Bombyx mori: one gene and its partner. The main gene of each other region encodes a partner of the protein of the gene in region 2 in a complex. Links are inferred from orthologs where the notes say so. Each region holds a gene or a part of one and is shown on either strand. Other genes may lie near its edges.

The links. The genes of interacting proteins can lie anywhere in the genome.
Region 1: folliculin (region 2) and roadblock domain-containing protein 3 share a complex: the UniProt entries of both Homo sapiens proteins name them as parts of the lysosomal folliculin complex. The link is inferred for Bombyx mori from reciprocal best matches to the Homo sapiens genes FLCN and LAMTOR2.

What each region holds. Positions count from the first base shown.
Region 1 is NC_085123.1:7,142,054-7,146,582, reverse strand, and holds roadblock domain-containing protein 3, read left to right. Parts: upstream 1-1,537; 5' UTR 1,538-1,619; exon of another isoform or gene 1,620-1,620; intron 1,621-2,120; 5' UTR 2,121-2,208; coding exon 2,209-2,276; intron 2,277-2,353; coding exon 2,354-2,663; 3' UTR 2,664-3,372; downstream 3,373-4,529. UniProt on the Homo sapiens protein: As part of the Ragulator complex it is involved in amino acid sensing and activation of mTORC1, a signaling complex promoting cell growth in response to growth factors, energy levels, and amino acids.
Region 2 is NC_085117.1:9,049,859-9,054,853, reverse strand, and holds folliculin, read left to right. Parts: upstream 1-1,602; 5' UTR 1,603-1,723; coding exon 1,724-1,990; intron 1,991-2,216; coding exon 2,217-2,402; intron 2,403-3,064; coding exon 3,065-3,200; intron 3,201-3,307; coding exon 3,308-3,561; intron 3,562-3,955; coding exon 3,956-4,133; intron 4,134-4,241; coding exon 4,242-4,344; intron 4,345-4,444; coding exon 4,445-4,580; 3' UTR 4,581-4,705; downstream 4,706-4,995. UniProt on the Homo sapiens protein: Multi-functional protein, involved in both the cellular response to amino acid availability and in the regulation of glycolysis.

The DNA of each region.
Region 1 (4,529 bases), on a different chromosome or scaffold from region 2:
CTGTACGTATTTAAGCCACTGAACTCCTCCTAAGCGGCTGTCCCATTTGAAATAATTTTTGAAGTGAAACTTCTTTAGGCGCATGGAGGTAAAATTTTTACAGAACGTCACGTAGGTATGCAACGGAAGTGACATCAAACTACTATTGAAATTAAGTACCGTAAAATGGGGCGATTAGGGATTGAGAGGCGAATTGGGAAAAAAACAGGAAACTCTTTCGACGCTCAATATTAGTTTTATATTCATTGCAAAATCTTCCATTTTTTGTAGTTTAATAGTAGAATGTTGAAAGTTCACAAAACAACTCTGAATATGCATGATAATAGCTGCTAACTTATAAAAAATCGCGTTTCAAATTAACTTTCTGTGGTGGTAATTATTTCAGTGCTAGAAACTTTGCTCTCTTTTATTTATTTGATTATAATAGAAGACGACTGTGATTTATAAACGTTATTTAGTGTTTGAACCATCATATATATTAAAGGTAAGTCTCAGTTATTATTGGATTTAATGTATTTGATAAAATAAAAATACATGTAAAAATCTGTTGTTTTTGGGGATATTGGGGACGTCTTAGGTACAAATAACAACGAAATAGGGGTCAATTGGGATGAGAATAAGAGAAACGGAAACGACCTAAGTACAAATAGGTACAGGTTTGTAGGGTTGTCTATGTAGTTAAAACAATATTTTTTAAATTTGTTGGTAAAAATCTGGTTTATTCATGATGTTTTTGTCTAGAACTTTTATTCAAACTTATCAATGTGTTGTTTTATTATTTGGTAAATATTTATATTATCAGTTACGTATTGTTTTCTATTTTTAGATATGCCTCGCGTGTACGTATTAAAGAGTGCCAAACCTTATAAGAGATATGATCCCTTAATATTATGTCCTTCTTCAAACGAGGCTTGTGGAGAGTATTAAACGGTAGGCAGCGGCTTGGCTCTGCCCCTGGCATTGCTGAAGTCCATGGGCGACGGTAACCACTCACCATCAGGTGGGCCGTATGCTCGTCTGCCTACAAGGGCAATAAATTAGATATACTCTATAGAGTATATCTAATTTAAAACGCACTTGTTAACAAAACGCTAGTAAATAGGGCCATTGCCAGCTGACTGACAAAACCGGCGCATGCGCAATGTAGGCGTGAGGTGATGGTTTGCTTATTAGATATAAAATAATTAATAATTGGGAATTTAATTGTTTTTATGATCGAACAATTACCAATAGTCGTTGAACAAACGATAATTGATAAAAACTAACTAATCTGAGCGATAAAAATAAAGATATCCAATAAGAGGGGCCAACTTAAGGGTGGTAATTTGCTTAATTAATTATAATAAATATTTAAACCCGAAGAAACACTAAATAGACAAAATAAAACAAATCACACAACTTCACTCCTCGCGTTCCCGCCAAAAAGTTCAAGTTCAGTGGATTACACGGATTGTCACGGATGCATAGATAATACACACATTGAGACACGGACGGCGACCATAGATTATACTCTTAATATATTTGACGGCGACGGTATTTTGATAGTTGTCAAATCCTACGTAAAAGTGGAAAATAGAAATTATCCTAAAAATTTAAGATCGTTGACGTCGAAAATTAAGTTCCATTTGACTCCATACAGAGGAGGGCCGTTCGGATTGTCGATAATCCCATTCTCTCGGATCGTTTGGAGCCTCTGGGTCTGCGGAGGGACTTCGGTTCCCTCTGTATTTTATACCGTATGTTCCATGGGGAGTGCTCTGAGGAATTGTTCGAGATGATACCAACATCTCGTTTTTACCATCGCACCGCCCGCCACCGGAGTAGAGTTCATCCATACTACCTGGAGCCACTGCGGTCATCCACAGTGCGTTTCCAGAGATCTTTTTTGCCACGTACCATCCGGCTATGGAATGAGCTCCCCTCCTCGGTGTTTCCCGAGCGCTATGACATGTCCTTCTTCAAACGAGGCTTGTGGAGAGTATTAAGCGGTAGGCAGCGGCTTGGCTCTGCCCCTGGCATTGCTGAAGTCCATGGGCGACGGTAACCACTCACCATCAGGTGGGCCGTATGCCCGTCTGCCTACAAAGGCAATAAAAAAAAAAAAAAAAAAAAAAAAAAAATAATAACAAATCAACACTTGAAAACGATTCAAGTTTAACTTCGTACTTAGCCATTTTCATGTAAATCCAACAGCACCAAGCCTTCAAAATGCTAAAACCGAAAGCATTAACAGAAGTTTTAAGTCAAGCTAATACAGGAGGAGTAGAAAACACTTTGTAATGAAAACATTTAGTTTGGTTACATATTTTATTAGACACTAAACATCAAAATTACAGGTGCTTCTTGATTTTAGGTTGTTGAATCATCAAGGTGCACTTCTAGCTTATTCTGGTTACAATGATAAGGATGCTAGAGTCACTGCTGCAATCGCTAGTAATGTCTGGTCAGCTTATGAAAAACACGGCAGAAATGTTTTTAAAGAAGATGGACTACATTTAATACTAGTAGATTGTTTAAATGGGAAAATTGCAATCACACAAGTTGCCAATTTATTACTGTGTCTTTATGCGAATGAGGCTGTTGGTTTTGGCATTCTGAAAGAAAAAATCAATGCTATTGCTCAGTATCTAGAAGGTCCTTTGAAGCAAGTTGCAAGTTCATAATATGTAATTTTAAATAATTATGAGCAAAATAATATGAGAAGTCACTAAAATACTTTACTTGGTTACTAAAATACTTTATTCAGTTATTTGAATCTTTAAATTTTATAGCTATTATATAAAACATGATAATTGCAAATTTGATTCCTGATTTGTATGCCATGTTTGATAATAAAAGGATTTACTGAGATAGTAGCTTAATGGATTCATTTGAATAATAATAGTTAAGATGCCTCATATACGTGTGCTATGCAACTATGCTGTATTTTCTGGGACAGGTATAAACATATTATTAAATATCTAGGTTCACAATAAACTTTCACATTAAAAAAAAGCTTAGAAATAAAATAAAACATTCAAAATTAATAGATTTTCATAATAACTGTCAGTATGGTGGAACCTGCATGGGTAGATAATATATACAATATATTAATATTGGAAAAATTAATGTACTGTAAAAATGTCTTTTCATTTTAATGTCAGACATTGTTACTACTGTAAATCTAATTAACATGTCCATATGTCAGTTTGCATGGCTTCTTTGTCAATTTGATAGTGGAACAAAATAGAAAAAGTAAAGTTCAACTAAATGGTTAATGCTAAAACCCCTATAAGTTGATGTACATTTAGTCATTAATATTTTATAAACTTTAATCAGAATATTTTGTAGTATCACAATTAATGATGACCCAGTATAAATCTATTCTTCTTTAAGTTTGTATTGAATGTTTAATAGTGACAGCATAGAGCTGAGCATAGCCAGGAGTATCCTTTATGTAAATCATACAGTTGCTCCTCATATGCACATTGTATCATTGTAACCTAGGATAGATAGATGGTTTATATATAAAAAATCGAAATTTGTTAATTGTTTCTTACCAGGAATTCCAGTACAAATATTCCCTTGTTACAAGCAGTCTCGTCTGATCATTAGCTTATAAATAAATAAATAAATAAATATTTACTAACTATCACGCCACGTTAACTGGTCCCGTGATAAGTTCGTAAAGAACTTGTGTTACAGGTACCAGATAACGGAAATAAATGTAAGATTTTTATTATACACATACATATACTTAATACACATCCATAACCCTGGAAAAGACATTTATATTTATCATACAAATATCTTCCCTTGGCGGGATTCGAACCCGCGACCCCCTTGTGTAGTGACCATGTCACTTACCACTACACCAGACGGCCGTTAAATATTAAAATATTCTTAATATATACTTATAAAATATAATAATACTTATAAAGTCATAAATACCAAATAAATAATAGGTAATTTACCTGTGAAATTGCCATTAAGCATACAGAAAATGAAAGCAATATTTTTATAAATATTTTTTTTATTTCTATAAATAAAAATATGCATGATATTGATGCATCTCTACCAATTTTTCAATGCATTTACTGAAGAACTTGGGTATGGGTGCTATCAAACTCTTTAAAGGCATTTTAAACGGCTTCTCGGGTATTAAATTTTAAGTTGTCCAAACTTTGGAAAAAGTAAAAGTCTGTCAGCACAAGGTCTGGTGAACATGTTGCATTATGCAAAACTTTCATCCTTAGCTCTTGGAGCTTAGAAACTGTATAATGTGTCGTACAAAGTGTTGTTTTTTTTTTTTATTGCCTAGATGTGTGGACGAGCTCACAGCGCACCTGGTGTTAAGTAGTTACTGGAACCCATAGACATCTACAACGTAAATGCGCCACACACCTTGACACCTTGTCTTCCACCTATACTACAGCAGAGAGGAGCCAGTAACCAAGGCTGGCATTCGCAGGCTTTTCCATCTTGTCTAGTTAATCGGGTACACATTCGGGTCAAAGCTAGTGCCATTTGGTTTGCTGTGATGAATTATT
Region 2 (4,995 bases):
GTGGTTTGCCTTAATTTTGCAACTTTTTTTTTTCCTACCTATGCTGATAGCCTTGAGAGGCTATTTCAGCTTACCCTAGCGTGTGTAGGTGAGCTCGCGGGGCTCAAACCGGAGAGTTGCTAACACTGACCCTAGGAAGAGCAGTGCTTCGCAGAATCTACCACCGGATCGGAAGCGCGACCCACTGAGAAGATCCGGCGAGAAACTCAGTAGTTATAGTTTATTAACATGACCACCATAATATGACAACTCTTATGCCGCAATACAACTTAGCCATGGGGTAGGCGTTCCAACAACTTCGATTTTAATTCAAGTTAGCTGCGAACAAAGAAGCAATAACGTTTGTGGCTCGTGCAATTTAGGCTAGCTTTTTGGCTCAAAGGATCATCATAGGTGTTTCTTAGACATTATACAAAGCCAGCCCTCACATTAAAATAGGTATGACTATCATCAACCTATCCTTCTCAATTAAACAGACCATTGCCTCGCGAGAGGTATACGCAAGATTGGTATCCGCTAGTGTGGACTAGCAAGCATTAGTACTTAAGAATAGACAAGGGAATTGGGCAGGAAGATAGTTGACCGTAACACTACTACAGAGGTAGTAGTAGCTTCAGGAAACCAGGGTTGTATACCTGCATCTAAATGATGGGCAATCTGTTTACCAGTTTCTATTAGGTATCTATATAAATAAAAATGAATTGCTGTTCGTTAGTCTCGCTAAAACTCGAGAGCGGCTGGACCGATTTGGCTAATTTTGGTCTTGAATTATCTTTACAAGTCCAGAGAAGGTTTAAAATGTAGATAAATATGAAAATTCTCGAAATTAAATTTAAATGACAATTTTGTTTTCCTTTGATGTGTCCCCTGTTGGACGGATTCCTTTTGTTTGTTTTAAGTTTATTTAATACAAAAGTTTAGGTATTTTATTTATCGATTAAGGTACTACGAAGTCTGCCGAGCCAACTAGTATGTAATATAAATCGTATAAAATTTTGCCAAAATACCAGTTCCTTGTATAAGATCTTTATATTTTATAATATAATATCTATGCTTTTTTTATTACTTAGATGGGTAGACGAGCTTACCGGAGCAACGTAGATGCTTCTACTCACCTTGAGACAAGAGTTCTAAGGTCTTAGTTGTAACAGTACAACGGCTGCTCCACCCTTCAAACCGAAATGCATTACTGCTTCACGGCAGAAATAGGCAAGAATATTATGCTGGGAGCGCCTGAGCCAAGTGTCGTGGATTTGTTAAATTAACGTTCAAGCTTAGTCGTAAAAATGTTAGCTCATTAATTGTTTAAAATTTGTTTAATTCTTTTTAATTTTATTCAATGTTTTCTTCTTTCTTTCAGACGGCAATAGGTTCCTTACGACGCGATTGTTGTCATCGCTAAGGTTATAAAATCAAAAACTACTATTTGTACTTTATTTTTATAATACATAGAAAAGGAAAACTTTCATCCCAATTTATTGAAGACTCAAATGAATCCACTTAACCTCATTTTGCTGTAAATAACTTTTCAAATAACAGAATACGAGAAAAAATAAGACTTGGCTTAAAAGTCTCGCTATCAGACCGTAAAATATTTTAAGTAAAAAAAAATGCTGTATGTCACCTGCCGTCAAAAAAATGTCAACAACTCTTCTATAATTTAACGTAATTAATCCAATATGTACATGATATTATTATAAATGCTGTAGTTACCATAAATATTATGAATGCTATCCTTACCCTTTGTCATTTCTGTGAAGCACACGGACCGCGATCTTTATTTTGCACGTTTACAACTGATAATGACGAACACATTACGGAACCTTCCAAAGCAAGTGTTCAGTGTACAGGCTGTGCCTCGTTAGGTCCTGAAACTGTTTTAAAATCTACAGACGACGATGGCACCATATATTGTAGCAGAGAATCTGTACCCAGTGCCGACGTTACGTCATTTCTGAGACAAGCTGCTATTCGAAGTATTACCTGTGAAGTAAGTATATTTCATAGGATTTACCTACATTAAATTGTTACTGCAGAAATATTTCGACCGTTTTCAATAACTTATCTCTTAGTATCAGAATCATATATTACAATATAATCACCTATATTTGTACATAAATAAATTTCTTAACAATGTAATACAATCTTACTTTAATTGGTCTCGTCCATTTCTTTATTATTATAATATTGATATCTAATGAAATTTATATAACTAGGTAAACTGGAGCAAGGATGGTGGCATAGTATATTTTAGTGAAGCACAAGGTCATGTGCTAAGCTTCACATTCCAGCTGTGCGATACACGAGCAAGAGGCCTCAAGCGATGGTTCTCTATACTGGTGCTTATGAAAGACAAGATGTTGCTCTTGAACATTACTCCAATGCTCTCTGAACACATGAAAGTAGGTTTATTGTAAGTGCTACATATTTGTGAATCACTAAAGAAGAAAGTTATATTAAATTCTTATTATTCTAAGAAAAATTGATTACATCTATTATTTTAACAATAAACAATCAATTTTTTAATATCTTTACCATGTGATCGGTCCTTCATGATGTGACTCTTGGTATTCAAATACCACTGACAGATACCCATTTAAAAATAAAAAACCTAATTTACAAAAGTTCATGAATGACTTCTGCAGTGAAGGAATATCACCATACAAAAAGCAGACTTGCAGTTTTTTTTCTTTTTTTTATTGCTTTATTACTGGTAGGGCGTTTTGTGGGCCTACATTGACAGGTACTAACATCGTGCCTATTTCTGCTGTAAAGCTGTAATGCATTTCAAATTAAAGGGTGAATCAGCTGTTGTACATTAAAAACTGGGACTTAGAACTCATTTTTCAAGGTGCATTAATGGCGATATTAACGTAGCAAGCTAAATTCATAGACCATTTTTTCCTAGGTGATCAGGAAGTCTCAAAAATGACTGCAAAAGATACCATTTACTGCATACACTCTTAAAAAAAATCCATTCCAAAAAAAACTCAACTGCTTTGAATGGATTATCTGCTTGATCCATGAATGTGCACTTATTTCATTGTTGCAATAATATTTTCAGAACATAGCTGCAGAGTTACAAAAATTGGCTGTTGCAGTTTTTGATGAGGAACAAAAAATTTGCTCACAGAGGGCATTGAGGTTAAGAACAGGGAGAAATGATTTTGGTCAGTCAAGGTCACTTGTTCAGTTGACAGGTAGGTACTATTCAGTTTTTTTTCTAAAACAAACATTTTGTAAAATCTGTTATCAAAACAAAACCTGCACTGCTTACTACACGCATCTCAGTAATCAATGTTTTCAGGAAACAAAGAAATATTCAAACTGTTGCACTCACATTTTTCATGGATACTAAAGGCAGGGGCACGTGTGTTTTCTGAAAATCTATATACCAGTCAAGATTTATTAAAAAAGATAAGTCCCATTATCCCAATTCTGGAGTCAAACTCAAGTGTTATTGAAAGTAAAGCAAAGTACATCCCTATGAGAGTTTTGGAGTCTATGTTATCAAATAATGTGTTCAGAGTAATGTTATTCTGTACATTGACCGGAGTGAATGTGAGTTTTTGAACTTTTTATTATATTAATCACATTATTAATATTCACAATATAAACGAACAAGCTGGTATTTAGTATTAGTTTAACATTATTCTGTAGAATCTGTACTGCTGTTTTTTTGTTGCTGTTCTTTTTTAAACCTGTTTAGAGCATGGAATAGTTTATAATTAACTAATATTACCAAAACAATAACATGTCTCAAGTAGTGCCATTTATGCAAGTAACCAAACAAATGGGTACACACTATTACATGGTCTATAATTTGGTCTGCCAATCTACAGCAGTTAAAAGGTATATAGATTCTAAAGCTAATCTTTTTTTAACATATACCAAACTTCTCAATTCAATTCATTGGTGGCATTTATTCAATATATATTTTTTTTATTTGTTTCAGATACAAATGCAAACCAATTTCAGGGATCCAGAAGAAATATTAATAAGTTTCAGGAGTTTACTACCAGAATTTGATTCATCAGCCAAACATAAAAAACCGAATACAGACCCTTGTATTATATCTGAAATAGAACATGGTAATTTTATTTCCAAATGGATGCAAACTTTACCTGTTAATTGTGAGTTTATTACTATTGAAATTAACTCAGTACTCACGAATAACTAAAGGGTTATATAATGATAAAAGCTATACATGATATGATTTATTATGACATGAATTATTCCAGGTCCAACGCTGATGAAAAAAATTGAAATTGCAATAAAAAATGAACATTTTAATGAAGCAGTTCTTCGCCAACATGTCTTATCATTGGTTTTACAATGGCAAGGGTAAATTGAAAAACTCAGTCCATTGGTTTGATACAAAAAACTAAAATATGGGTTTTGAATAGAATTTTTCTATTTGTTTTTTTGTCTTTGTTACTTCCAGAATAGCACAAGCTGTAAAATCAACCATGAAATCATCAGACAACAAAACAGATTCTGTTAAATTGAAACAAACACTCGGTGTAGCTCAGTATGATGAAACATTACTTAAATATTGGATGGATGCATTCTGTAAATAAAATGCCGATGTGTAGTTATTTAACTAATATTTTCTGAAATAATTAACTTATTTTTGTATTTATTTTTAAGGTGTTATACAAAGCTGAATGTTCACTTAATAATAAAAATGTTTACTATTACCTACTGTTGTAGTTTTTCATCTTTACGAAATTAATTATTTCAGTGATAAAAAATATCATATCAGTTTAGTTATTTCCAAACTAAGCTGTCCTTTGTAAGAGATGTCAAAACTTTAATATGATGAATGCCAAACATAATAAGAATAGAAAATGTGTTTAGGCCAGTGGGTCATAACGTAAACCCTGTGACTGCCAATGAGTCTAGTCCATTGGTCCTGAAATCTCTACTAATTGGTATTCATTGTTTCCGTAAGTCACGTTATTTTTGGTCAATATTCGGAATATTCACGTCTAT